Neurospora crassa OR74A: one gene and its partners. The protein of the gene in region 3 purifies or fractionates together with the protein of the main gene of each other region. This does not show direct contact. Links are inferred from orthologs where the notes say so. Each region holds a gene or a part of one and is shown on either strand. Other genes may lie near its edges.

Evidence for each region. Proteins that work in one complex are often made in the same cells at the same time.
Region 1: the proteins of NCU04041 (region 3) and NCU03321 purify together in Saccharomyces cerevisiae (affinity purification with mass spectrometry, with the first as the bait; 3 studies listed by BioGRID). This does not show direct contact. The link is inferred for Neurospora crassa OR74A from reciprocal best matches to the Saccharomyces cerevisiae genes MAK5 and ERB1.
Region 2: the proteins of NCU04041 (region 3) and NCU03764 purify together in Saccharomyces cerevisiae (affinity purification with mass spectrometry; 5 studies listed by BioGRID). This does not show direct contact. The link is inferred for Neurospora crassa OR74A from reciprocal best matches to the Saccharomyces cerevisiae genes MAK5 and YTM1.

What each region holds. Positions count from the first base shown.
Region 1 is NC_026501.1:5,301,441-5,305,602, forward strand, and holds the start of NCU03321 (eukaryotic ribosome biogenesis protein 1), read left to right. Parts: upstream 1-1,350; 5' UTR 1,351-1,414; coding exon 1,415-1,809; intron 1,810-1,879; coding exon 1,880-2,119; intron 2,120-2,192; coding exon 2,193-2,305; intron 2,306-2,365; coding exon 2,366-3,578; intron 3,579-3,645; coding exon 3,646-4,024; 3' UTR 4,025-4,162. Other genes in the region: ada-4 (all development altered-4), read right to left, coding at 98-164.
Region 2 is NC_026505.1:2,340,069-2,343,720, reverse strand, and holds NCU03764 (microtubule associated protein), read right to left. Parts: upstream 2,286-3,652; 5' UTR 2,092-2,285; coding exon 628-2,091; 3' UTR 513-627; downstream 1-512. Other genes in the region: NCU03765 (3'-5' exonuclease/helicase), read left to right, coding at 1-254; NCU03763 (DNA polymerase delta subunit 2), read left to right, coding at 2,620-2,669, 2,735-3,044, 3,100-3,652. UniProt on the Saccharomyces cerevisiae protein: Component of the NOP7 complex, which is required for maturation of the 25S and 5.8S ribosomal RNAs and formation of the 60S ribosome.
Region 3 is NC_026506.1:2,535,038-2,539,212, forward strand, and holds NCU04041 (ATP-dependent RNA helicase mak-5), read left to right. Parts: upstream 1-1,368; 5' UTR 1,369-1,451; coding exon 1,452-1,676; intron 1,677-1,737; coding exon 1,738-3,930; 3' UTR 3,931-4,066; downstream 4,067-4,175. Other genes in the region: NCU04040 (tRNA (uridine-2'-O-)-methyltransferase TRM7), read right to left, coding at 1-659, 729-831. UniProt on the Saccharomyces cerevisiae protein: ATP-binding RNA helicase involved in the biogenesis of 60S ribosomal subunits and is required for the normal formation of 25S and 5.8S rRNAs. Required for the maintenance of dsRNA killer plasmid.

The sequences.
Region 1 (4,162 bases), on a different chromosome or scaffold from region 3:
TTAGATACATTAGTGCGGTTGGGCAGTCATGGTTGCTGACTAGAGGGTAGAGGTAGATGAATATATGGATCGAAACGGGGAGCGGGACGAAACATACGGCACTCGTCACAGGCACGGCGTTTCACCGGCTCTTTCTCCTTAGTGACTTCGCTGTTTGAGATCATGGCTGTTTTCCGCAACCGGCCTTTCCTTTATTTTGCTTTTTTTTTCTCCCCTTCTTTTCCGCGGGCGTAGATGTGTGGTGGATAAAAAGGGTTGAGTGGTAAGGTAAACGTCTAAGGCTCTCCGCAAGCCCCGCTTAGAAGACACAGAAATCGCCCCGGTGGTACTCCAAGACACTATCTATGTAGACGCTAGTGTGGTGTACACAGTAGATGGGCAAACAGCATGGATATGTACGTTGTAACAAGGGACCTAGGATGATAGGATCGACTCGTTTTCAGAGGAGGGCAAAGAAAGCAGATTTCAGACAAGATGCTCCAGGCCCGCAATGTTAACGAGCCAACGCAAGCAATCAAAGATCACCTGGTCGCGCCAGACCTGATGCCATATTAATAAGCCGCAATTGACACAGATAATGCAGAGACTGACTTTTGTTGCCGCGTTGCCTCAAATGGCACTGGTAGTGTATCAGTCAAACACCCAGGCCTTTGGACATATATGTGGCTCACTGGCCAAAGGCATGAATGATGTCCTTTTGCTAGTTATGGGATGACTATAGCGTGGGTTTTATGGCAGTAGTGTAGTGTGAAGGTGTCGAGTAACCCTAGCCCATCAAGGTTCCCTAGCAGGCGTCGTGCTACACTACATATTGTCAACTGCCATGCTTGGAAAGCGCAAAAAGACGGCGATGGTGACAAAAACCGTAGTGTAAGAGGCAATGGGGTAAAATTCGAACAAAAGTCTGTAATTACAAGCGATCCATGGAGACTCAATCTGATCACGCCGGGTATTTGATTGATGCTGGTTTGCCAGTTTTGACTGCCAATACCCACAGAACGGGCAGGACGAACTACAGAAGTGGAATCGTGCGTGGTTGAAGCCAGGTGTAGGGGTGCAGAGGGATGCTGCATCGAGGTTGGAGTTCGGTATTCATCTCATCCATGATATACAAGTAACAAATAAGGCTAAAAATTTGAAGTCGGTATCAGAGGGACGGAGACACGGAGTGCATGCTCCTGGCTTCATTTGTCTTTTGACACGCTAAACCGATAGGGTAATATGTTATGGTTCTTTAGCTGCCAGAAATGCCAAGGGCGGTGAGACCAACTCGTCCCCGCCATGAGCTGTAGAACCGGCAGAAAAAAAAGTCCCAGGCCAATTCGTATGCTAGGAATTTTCGACGCCTATCGCTGCGACGCTATCTGGGTGTTTTACCAGCAGAAAACACGCCAAAAATCAACACACATTCACAATGGGGCCAAAAGCCACCGAGAAGAAGCGAAAGGTCCAGGACGCCGAGCCTGAGTCCGACGACGAGATTGCACCCGATTTTGACGGCGCCCTGTCGCAGAGCGAAGACGAGTTCGATTCTGACTTCGACGACAATGAGCACGAACAGGACGGCGAGCAGGAAAGCGGAAGTGAGGCCAGCGACGACGAAGATGAGGAGGGCTCCCTACTAAGCGACGACATTCCCTCCGATGCTGAGGGCGACAAGGCAATGGGCAAACTTGTTCTCGAGGACGAAGAAGAGGAACTCGAGATTGAGATACCCGGAGTCGACCCCAAGCGGCCGGAGAAGGATGATGGAGACAAGAACTATCGGATCGAAAAGGACGCGAACGGCAACGAGCGCTACGTCTACGAGTATGTTGTTGTTCTGCAAATGGATCAAATATCGTTCCATGCCAGCATAGTTAACTCGAGAATGCAACAGTGAGATCGACCCCGTCTACGATTCGGACGATTCCGATGCCCAAGAAGCGCCAAACACCATCGGCAACATCCCCATGAGCTTCTACGACAGCTATCCCCATATCGGCTATGATATCAACGGCAAGAAGATTATGCGCCCGGCCACTGGCGACGCTCTTGATGCTCTCCTCGACAGCATCGAAGTGCCCAAGGGCTGGACTGGCCTTACGGATATTCACACCGGCAACCCTCTCAACCTCAAGTATGCACCCAACCCATCCTCCTTTGTCTTGCTCGGTTTCTTCGGGTCACGCTTACTGACTGCCATACCGTAGTGATGATGAATTGGAGCTTGTTCGCCGTGTCCAGATGGGTATGATTCCCAACGAGCTGGAAAACCCCTACCCTGAAACCGTGGAATACTTTACTGGTATTGAGGAGAAAATGCGTAAGTCAAAATCTATCTACACTTATCGTTGTTGAAATGGTGCAACTAACAAGTCAATAGCCCTGAGCGCTGCCCCTGAGCCCAAGCGTCGCTTCCTCCCCTCCAAGAACGAGGCCAAGAAGATTATGAAGCTTGTTCGCGCCATTAGGGAAGGCAGGATCCTGCCCTACAAGCCCCCTGAGGAGCGCGAGAAGGAGGAGGAAGAGGAGGAGCAGTACTTTGATATCTGGCAGGATGAGGTGCCACAAGAAGTCAACCCCTTGCACATCCCGGCACCCAAGCTGCCTCCTCCTGGTTTCGACATGAGTTACAACCCGCCCGCAGAATACCTACCGACCAAGGAGGAGAGAGAGGAGTGGGAGAAGCTCGACCCCGAGGAGCGCGAGAAGGAGTATCTCCCTCAGAAATACGACTCTTTGCGGAAAGTTCCCGGTTATGGCGAGATCGTCAAGGAGAGATTCGAGAGGTGCATGGACCTTTACCTTGCTCCTCGTGTGCGGAAGAACAGGCTCAACATCGATCCCAACTCGCTCCTGCCCAAGCTTCCTTCGCCTTCTGAGCTCAAGCCTTTCCCTACAGTTGCCCAAACAGTTTTCCGCGGCCATGACGGCCGTGTAAGAAGCGTTGCCATCGACCCTACTGGTGTTGCTGTCGCTAGCGGTGGCGACGACGGTACGGTACGTGTGTGGGAGCTGTTGACGGGTCGCCAAGTCTGGTCCGTCAAGCTCAGCAGTGAGGAGGCTGTCAACACCGTTAGGTGGAGGCCCGCGAAGGACTCTTTCATTCTCTCCGCTGCTGTGGGTGAGGATGTCTACCTCATGGTTCCTACACACGCCAGCGTTACTCCTGCTTTGGACCAGGCTAGCAGAGATATCCTGTCGGCTGGCTTCGGTTATGCTACAAACGGTCAGCAACACGGCGCTGCTCCCGGCAAGGAGCCTCCTGCCAAGTGGGCCCGCCCCGGTGCTAAGCTCGAGGATGAGGGTGTCTTGATCAGGATCACAGTCAGGTCGACCGTGAAGGTCATCAACTGGCACAGGAAAGGAGACCATTTTGCGACAGTATCGCCTTCCGGACAGAGGAGCTCCGTAGCCATCCATACGCTCTCCAAGCACCTCACCCAGATTCCCTTCCGCAAGCTTTCTGGCTTGGCTCAGACAGCGTCTTTCCATCCCCTCCGTCCTCTCTTCTTCGTCGCCACTCAACGAACAATTCGCTGCTACGACTTGCAGAAGCTCGAGCTGGTCAAGGTTGTCCAGCCTGGCGCGAAGTGGTACGTATCCCCATGGCTAGCCGGATAATGTGACTGGAATTGATTTGCTAACTCTGTTGACTTGTAGGATTTCTTCGTTCGATATCCACCCCGGCGGTGACAACTTGATTGTTGGCAGTTACGACAAGCGTCTCTTGTGGCACGATCTGGATCTTTCCATTCGTCCGTACAAGACGATGAGGTTCCACAGCGAGGCGGTTCGTCAGGTCAAGTACCACAGGGGCGGCCTGCCGCTCTTCGCTGATGCCAGTGACGACGGCACTCTCCAAATCTTCCACGGCAAGGTCCCGAACGATCAGCTGGAGAACCCCACCATTGTGCCTGTCAAGGTGCTCAAGGGACACAAGGTCGTCAACAAGCTTGGTGTCCTGGATATGGACTGGCACCCGCGTGAGCCGTGGTGTGTGTCTGCCGGTGCTGACGGCACCATCCGTCTCTGGATGTAAAAGAACAGCGTTTAATGGGACGAGACAAAAGATGAACAAAACACAAGGAAGGAAAACGGAAGCGAGAGGACAGGTTAATCAGTCTGCTTGTCTTGATTGGCGTGCTCGGATGTGCTATTATTATGATTAGAAAGATAC
Region 2 (3,652 bases), on a different chromosome or scaffold from region 3:
TGGATGAGATTTTTGGGCAGGAGCAGGAGCAGGAAGGTGAGGTAGAGGAGGTTGAGGGTGAGGAGGTAGATGAGACACAGGCAGAGGTGGAGGTAAAGCCGAAGGAAGAGAGCGTGGAGGATGTGATGAAGGCTGCGTTGGAGGCTGGGGATTTGGACTTTGATGAGGAGTTGACGCTGGGCAATAGCAGCAGTCAAGCGACGGTTGATGAGGAAGAGGTGGAGAGGTTGAGGAAGATGTCGAGAAGTCACTGAGCCGGCTCTCAAGCTGCTGGTCGAGTGCTGAACAAGAAAGGAAAGATGTCGACGATGCACCTATACCCCGAGACCGACTTGGCTACTTTTAGACGTTGGTAGATGAACCTTGTATAATCCTCAGAACAACCTGACTGGGCTCTGCAGAAGCCATCTAGTCTATGCTCCAGGTCAGTACAGTTTTCGCGTACAGTTTAGTTCAGAAAGAATCTGTCACGGCTGTTCTTGGCCTCGTCCCTGCAGATATCACAAAAATATCCTGTACAGTATTCACATTCCATTTTATCTATCCTGGGTATATCATAACAACCAAGTTCTGCTGCTTCCCTTCTCTTCATCAACAACCCCCTCTTTCCCGACCATTTTTCTTCCTCTACTCGGCATTCACACCCCTCCCCTTATTAATCTGCACCTTCTTATCCTCACCACCGCTGAAGATGCCCAGCTGATCCCACACCACGCTGAACACCTTGCACCCGTCGCCCGTCACACTGCTCTTCTTCTTCTTGCCCTGCTGGCTCTCGCGATCAATAACGTACACGGGCTCGCTGACGCTGCCCATGCCGCCCTCGTCCTTGGTCGCTGGCCGGACCGACCGCAAATCCCAGATCCGGCACGTCCCGTCGTGCGAGCCCGAAACCAGTGAGTACTCGTTCTCCGGGTTCGCCGCCAGACTGACCACCTTGTTGGCATGCCCACGCAGCGTCATGACGCTCGTCGCGGCCGTGCTGGTGCGCGGGTCGACGAGGGTAATGTGTCGGGCGGAGGTGCCGCAGGCGAGAAGGGGCGCCGAGGCCGAGGAGCGCGGCAGGGCAGCGAGAGAGAGGAGCGCATGCGAGGTTGTGAAGGTGCTGACCACGCTGGAGGTGGTCAGGTCGATGGTCTTGACGGTATGGTCCTGCGACACAGAGTAGGCAACGGTGCGGTCGCGGGGGTCGAAGACGGCGGCCGTGGCGGGCGCATTGTGGATGTTCATAAGGGCGAGCGGGCCGCGCTGGGCGGCGGTGACGGAGGTCGCGAGCTTGCGGCGCTTGGATGTGTGGGCGCCGGGAAGGAGCGAGGAATCGGAGACTTCGGGCGCGGACGCCTTGGAGGTGGTCCAGAAACCGATGGAACCGTCGGCGGAGGCAGTGAGGATGCGCTTCGAGGCGCCGTCAACCTCGAGCGAGTCGATCGAGGAGGTGTGGCCGTACAGTTCGAGAGTGGGCTTCAGCTCGCCGCGACGCTCGTACGACTCGCCCGACTCGGTGTACTTCCATACGCGAACTGTGCGGTCCATGCCGGCCGAGGCAATCTGAGTGCTGGAGAGGAATTTGGCAGCTTTTATGCTGGCAGTGTGACCACCGTGGCTGCCCGAGGGCGAGGTGCCAATCACATTTCCAGAGGCGTCCCATATCCTGAGGAGACCGTCGTACGAGGCGGAGAGGATGCGATCTTGGCCGCGCTGAAAGTTGTCGCCGGACCAGCGGCCCGCGGGAGAAGTAGCGGAAAGAACATCGACGGCGCTGACCCAGTCGTCGTGCTCAAAGCTGGCCTCGTATGTTGGTGGGATCAAACTGCGAACGTACTGAAGGGTGATGTTGGTTTCGAGCGAGAGGCCGTTGGCGTTGAGGTACTCTTCAAGACTGCCGCGGAGGAAGCTGCCGTTAACAAGGAAGTCGAAGGGGATCGAGTTGGTGTCGAGCATGGACTCGGAGTTGAGAATACGGGAGAGGCCATAACGGCGGATGTCGGCGGGGACAAGGAGCTGGCGCTTGCTCTCATCGAGCTGGATGTCCTCCTCCTGGGTGGTGAAGGTCACCCGGACCTGGGCGCCTGATTCGGTAGGGTGGTCCATGGCGGTGCCTGTGCTGTGATATTATGTGAATTGGGTAGTCGCTGTTCGGTATGGGCAGGCTGAATACTATCAATTGACAAGTAAAAGTCAGATTGGCTTAGATTACCGTGAAACAGGCGTCGTCGGGAGGAGAGTGTGGATGTTTACTTTGCAGCGGACACCACAAGGCCATGCCAAATCCAAGACTCCATCCAATTTTTTCTGTCCAGCCTTGCAGCGCAGGGGTCTGGAGTGTTCTAGCTACCCCACGTTCCCCTATCTTATCGGAACTTTATAGCGGGGCCGACGGTTCCTGTGAGGGTCACAGTGCTGAAGCGCCGCTACTATGTAAACTATACTAGTATAGAGTAGTACCGGTCATGTACCTGGCTTAATTGAACCCACTGGAGCTACGCGTCTCGAAATTGTCAAGCGCGTCGTCGAGTTTCGTCCCTTGAAGTCAGTTTCCGAGTCGGGCAGCACATGAATAAGTCACCAATTGCTTTTGTCGTTCTCACATCTTGAGCCATTGTCAGTATCAATCATACGATGGTCACCTTGGACGAAGTTCTCGGTAGCGGTTTGCTACAGAAGCCCTCGTGAGTAGCAGTGGATCATCCATCTTCCACTGGCGATCATCAGCTAACAACCCAACTTCACGAAGAGGCGATGCGCCCGAGGCTCTCCAGCGCCAGATCACCAACTACAAGCCCCTTCATACCTTCAAACTCGAAAAAACCCGTCCCTATCAACAACAATATGCCGATATTTACTTTTTGCGTCTTACAAAGATCAGGCCCGCCGTCGAGGCAGCCGCCAGCGCCGCTTGGGAGGGAACAGTGCTTGGTGGTGAGAAGGTCAAGAGGGTCGAGCGTGTCCTAGACGTTCGCCAGGGAGAACTATGCTGGGTAGCTGGAACAGTATATATGGACATGCCTCTAAAGCCCTCAATCCTCGAGGATGTCTCCAAGGATGTGAGTTTCAGCCTATCCTTTGGTGGACACCAGGCAGCTGACAATGATGTTATAGCGCTGGATCTCCGCTCCCACCTCGGTCGGCCACTACTACTCCGGCAACGGCGAAGACTCGGTAATGCTCGAAGACGACTCCGGCCGCATCCGTCTTGTCGGCAACGCTCTGCAAAACCACTTCATGGTGACCGGCTGCATCGTCGCGGTAATGGGCACCGAGAACGCCAACGGCGAATTCGAAGTCATCGACCTCCTCTTCGCCGAACTACCACCACAGCCCGAGCGCTGGTCGCTCTCAAAAGGCAAAAAGGAAGCAGACTCCTCCGAAGACGTCGAAATGATGGACGCCTCTTTCTCCAGGCAGTCCCACAAGCCCTCCTCTAAAAAGATTGCCCTCGTCTCCGGCCTCGAGTTCTCCAACGCCGACACCTCCTACGCCATGGAACTCAACCTGCTTCTCGAGTATCTCCTCGGCGAAGCGCTCGATCCCTCCGTCCAACGCGACGAGCTCTCACACATCACCCGCCTCATCATAGCGGGGAACTCCATCTCCACGACGGCGGCCGAACAGGCCAAACCCGCGGCTGCCTTCGACACCACCACCGTAACAA
Region 3 (4,175 bases):
GACGATGAAGGCCTCGACACTGCTGGCGCGCGAAGAGCGGGGCTTGGCGACGTAAACCTTTTCGAAGAAGACCTTCAGCTGGGCGTAGAGAAGGTCGACGTTGCGGCCCCGGAAGATCTTGGCGACGAACTTGCCGCCAGGCTTGAGGACGCAGAGGGCGAGGTTGAGGGCTGCGAAGAGGAGCTGTGACTGGACGTAGATGTCAAGATCATGCAGGCCTGTGACGTCGGGCGCACCATCGCTGATGACCAGATCCACTGGGTGTGAGGCTTGCGGGTTCATGGTGCTTGGGTCGAAATCGGGGTCCAACGCCTTAAGCAAAAGCGGAACGGTGGCGGGATGTGTGATGTCGGCTCGGAGAGTGATGATTCCTGGCAGAGGGCTGATGGGCTGCAAGTCGATGGACACAATCTTGACCTGTTCCCTGGGAGCCGGCGTGCTCTCCTGAGTCGCCTGCACCCTCTGAACCTCATCCTGAGCGTCTTGCTTCTCGGGAAAGACGTTGAGCATCTGTTGGCGGAACTTGGCCTCACGGTCTTGCCAAGCACACCGGCCGAACTTCTCTCCCTTGATGAGAACCCTCGATAGAACCTGAGACCAGGAACCGGGGGCAGCGCAGAGATCGACCACACGAGTGACATTTTCAAACAAGTTGAATTCTGATGGGAACGCTCGGTGTTAGCGGTGATACACTTCTTTACATTACATATGCAATAAACAGTTCTTACCTTCGTCTAGTTGAAGAAGCTTGAAGGCACTTCTGGCACGCCATCCTTGCTCCTTTGCAAGGCGATAGTAGGCATCACGCTTGTCTTTTGATGATTTCCCCATTTTGAATGCTTCGCTCTCACTTACTTGTGTCGAATAATGAAGTGCCGCGAGTGGGTGACGAGAGTGAATGACGGGAGCTTGTGAAAGAGACTGGGCCCCACTTTTGCCTGGTGACGGGTCGCTGTCGCTGGGCGCCGATTTGGGTCCGTCTGCTGCAAATAGTCACCGCCAAAAAGGATTCTGCCGGCATAATTATCGAGCACCTTGGCGGCCCCAGCACTCGCACACCATAGACGCGCATACTTGGAGGGAAGGACTTTGGCGATAAACGAAAGCTTTGAATCATAAGATGTCGTCTCATGTTTTGTTTCCTCCATCAAAGTCAGACTGATTGTTTCCACGTCCTATTCTGTCGGCACCCTCTACACTACAAGCTTGTTAGCCAGACCTGGAATAGGTAGGCGGTGTCATTTACAGCACATGGGCTAGCCTGTTCCAGCTAGAGGCTGCTGCAACCCAGCTGCAAGGTGGAGCCAAAATTTCCATTTCACTTTTACAGCCATTTTCACTGAGCAGTGTCAACAACACCCTTCAAATCAAAGTTCATCAGTGCATCCAACAACCTCAAGCACTCAAACCCGACACCCTTTTCCACCCGAAAACGACGACATATTCACACCATGGCCGTCGATAAGAAGCGCAAGAACACAAAAGCCCCCGCCAGCGGGCCAAAGCGCCGCAAGACGCAACCGTCGTCTAAGCAGATCAAGCGACCTGTTTCCGTTGATGCGCTGGCATGGAAGACGGTCGACATTCCTGAAATGTTCGATGATGCGGAGGGTTTCTTTGGTTTGGAGGAAATTACCGGTGTTGACATTGTAAAGGATGGCGATGTTGTCAAGTTCGTAAGTTGGGTCATGGATGATGACAGCGACAGGACATGAATGAACTCACATATGTCTTTAGATGGCTGCGGTCCCCAAGTCGGAGGCAGAGGTAGAAGATGACGGCGAAGAGTTTGGTGGTTTCGACGACGAAGAGACACCGAAACCTGCTGGAAATGCGGACCAGGAAGTCAAGACATCAGAAACCAAGGCCGAAGCTGCGAGTACTCCAGCCAAGGAAAAGAAGGCCTCCAAGGACCAGAGGAAGCCAAAGGAGCAGCAAAAGCAGCAAAAGCAGCAAAAGCAACAGCCAAAGAAGGAGCAGCCAAATAAGGCAGCGAATAAGAAGAACGCCGAGGACAAGAAGAAGGCCCGCAAGAACGAGAAAACTACTGTCGAGCCGAAGGACCCCGAACTAGAAACCGATCTTTTCACCAAACTGGAGGAGCTTCCTGAGCCTGAAGAGGAGGAAATTGATATGTCCGAATGGGTGCCACTCGATTTGTCACCTCGTATGATCTCGTCCATCGCCAAACTCAGGTTCTCCAAGCCCACCGTGATTCAGTCCAAGGCTATTCCCGAGATCATGGCTGGTCACGACGTTATCGGAAAAGCATCCACCGGTTCGGGAAAGACGTTGGCATTCGGAATTCCCGTCATCGAAAGCTGGTTGAGCGCTGCTGAGACGAGGAAGCAGAACAAGGAAGAGAGAAAGGGCGCTACAGCGCTGATTTTGTCACCCACCAGAGAACTTGCCCAGCAGATCAGAGACCATCTTCAAGCGCTTTGCAAAGGTCTTCCTACAGCACCTTACATTTGCTCGGTTCTTGGTGGCATGGCCGTACAGAAGCAAAAACGACAGCTCCAGGTCGCCGATATCGTCATTGCGACCCCGGGCAGAATGTGGGAGGTTATGAGCTCAGATAACTCTGTGCTCGCTTCTCTGAGGAACATCTCCTTCCTCGTGTTGGATGAGGCAGATAGACTTCTTAAGGACGGTCACTTCAAGGAGGCCGAGGAGATTTTCAAGGCTCTTGACAGGCCACCGGTGGAAGAGAACAATGAGGATCAGAAGATGGGCGGTACTGATGAGGAGGGACAGGAAGAGGAAGAAGAGGACAGCGAGGAGGAGGAGGAGGAGGAGGAAGAGCACGTCAACAAGAGGCAGACTCTCATTTTCTCCGCCACGTTCAACAAGAACTTGCAGCAAAAGTTGGCCGGAAAATCCAAGTTCAAGGCGACGAGCACCCAGGACATGGAGTATCTTCTCCAGAAGCTGAACTTCCGCGAAACCCCCAAGTTTGTCGACGCCAATCCCGTCCACCAAATGGCCGAGAACCTCAAGGAGGGTCTCATTATGTGCGGCGACATGGAGAAGGATCTCTACCTCTATGCCACTCTCATGCTCCAGCCCACACGGCGCGCGCTTGTATTCACCAACTCGGTCAACTCTGTCCGTCGCCTAACCCCCCTCCTCGAGAACCTCAATCTTCCAGCCTTCCCTCTCCACTCGGGCATGATCCAGCAAGCCCGTCTGCGCTCTATCGACCGCTTCAAGGCCAACGAAGGCGCAAAGAAAAAGAACGGTTCTGCAGCTATCCTGGTCGCTACCGATGTTGCTGCCCGTGGTCTCGATATCCCCGACGTCGACCTCGTCATCCACTACCACGTCCCGCGCGCCGCCGAGGACTACGTGCACCGCTCCGGCCGTACCGCCCGTGCCTCCAACTCGGGCACGAGCATCCTGCTCTGCGGGCCCAAAGAAGCCGTGCCGACGCAGCGCCTCGTTGCCAAGGTGCACGCCCAGGCCGAGGTCAAGGCCGGCAACTCGGGCAACAACACCAAGAAGCTCGTTTCGAGCGGACTTCGCACCATCGATATCGACCGGCGCATCGTCGCCAAGTTGCGGGAGCGCGTCGACTTGGCCAAGAAGATCGCGGATGCGGTGCAGGCCAAGACCATGGGTGGAAAAGAGGACGATTGGATGAAGAAGGCGGCAGAGGACTTGGGCGTCGACTATGACTCGGAAGAGCTTGAGAAGGCGGGCAAGTGGGGTGGCAAGGGTAGCTCCAAGAAGCAGAAGCAGAAGGAGGCACAGCAGATGAGCAAGGGCGAGTTGGCGTCGCTGAGGGCTGCGTTGAGAGACCTCTTGAGCAAGAGGATCAACACGGGCGTCAGCGAGAGGTACCTCACTGGACTGGATGTTAGTGAGCTGCTGAAGGGCGAGCAGGGGCTGTTTTTGGGCCAGGTGGACGGATTGGGCTTGGATGATTAGACGCAGATTCATGGCTGTGGTATTGCATGTTTCCTTTCACGGTTAACCATTTAATTCTGAGCGGTGATCTACATATAGTATCCGGTCTCTTCACTCTGAGTAAGATGTCTTGTATTTTTTCTCTCGTGTTTTGTTCTATAAGGCACTAAAAGAACAGTTCACGTCTTGGACTGTGCTGCCAAGTGAGACAGGGTCCATGGGTCCATCAAGGTCTCCATCTTCCCCATGGCCTAGATTCTCAGTTG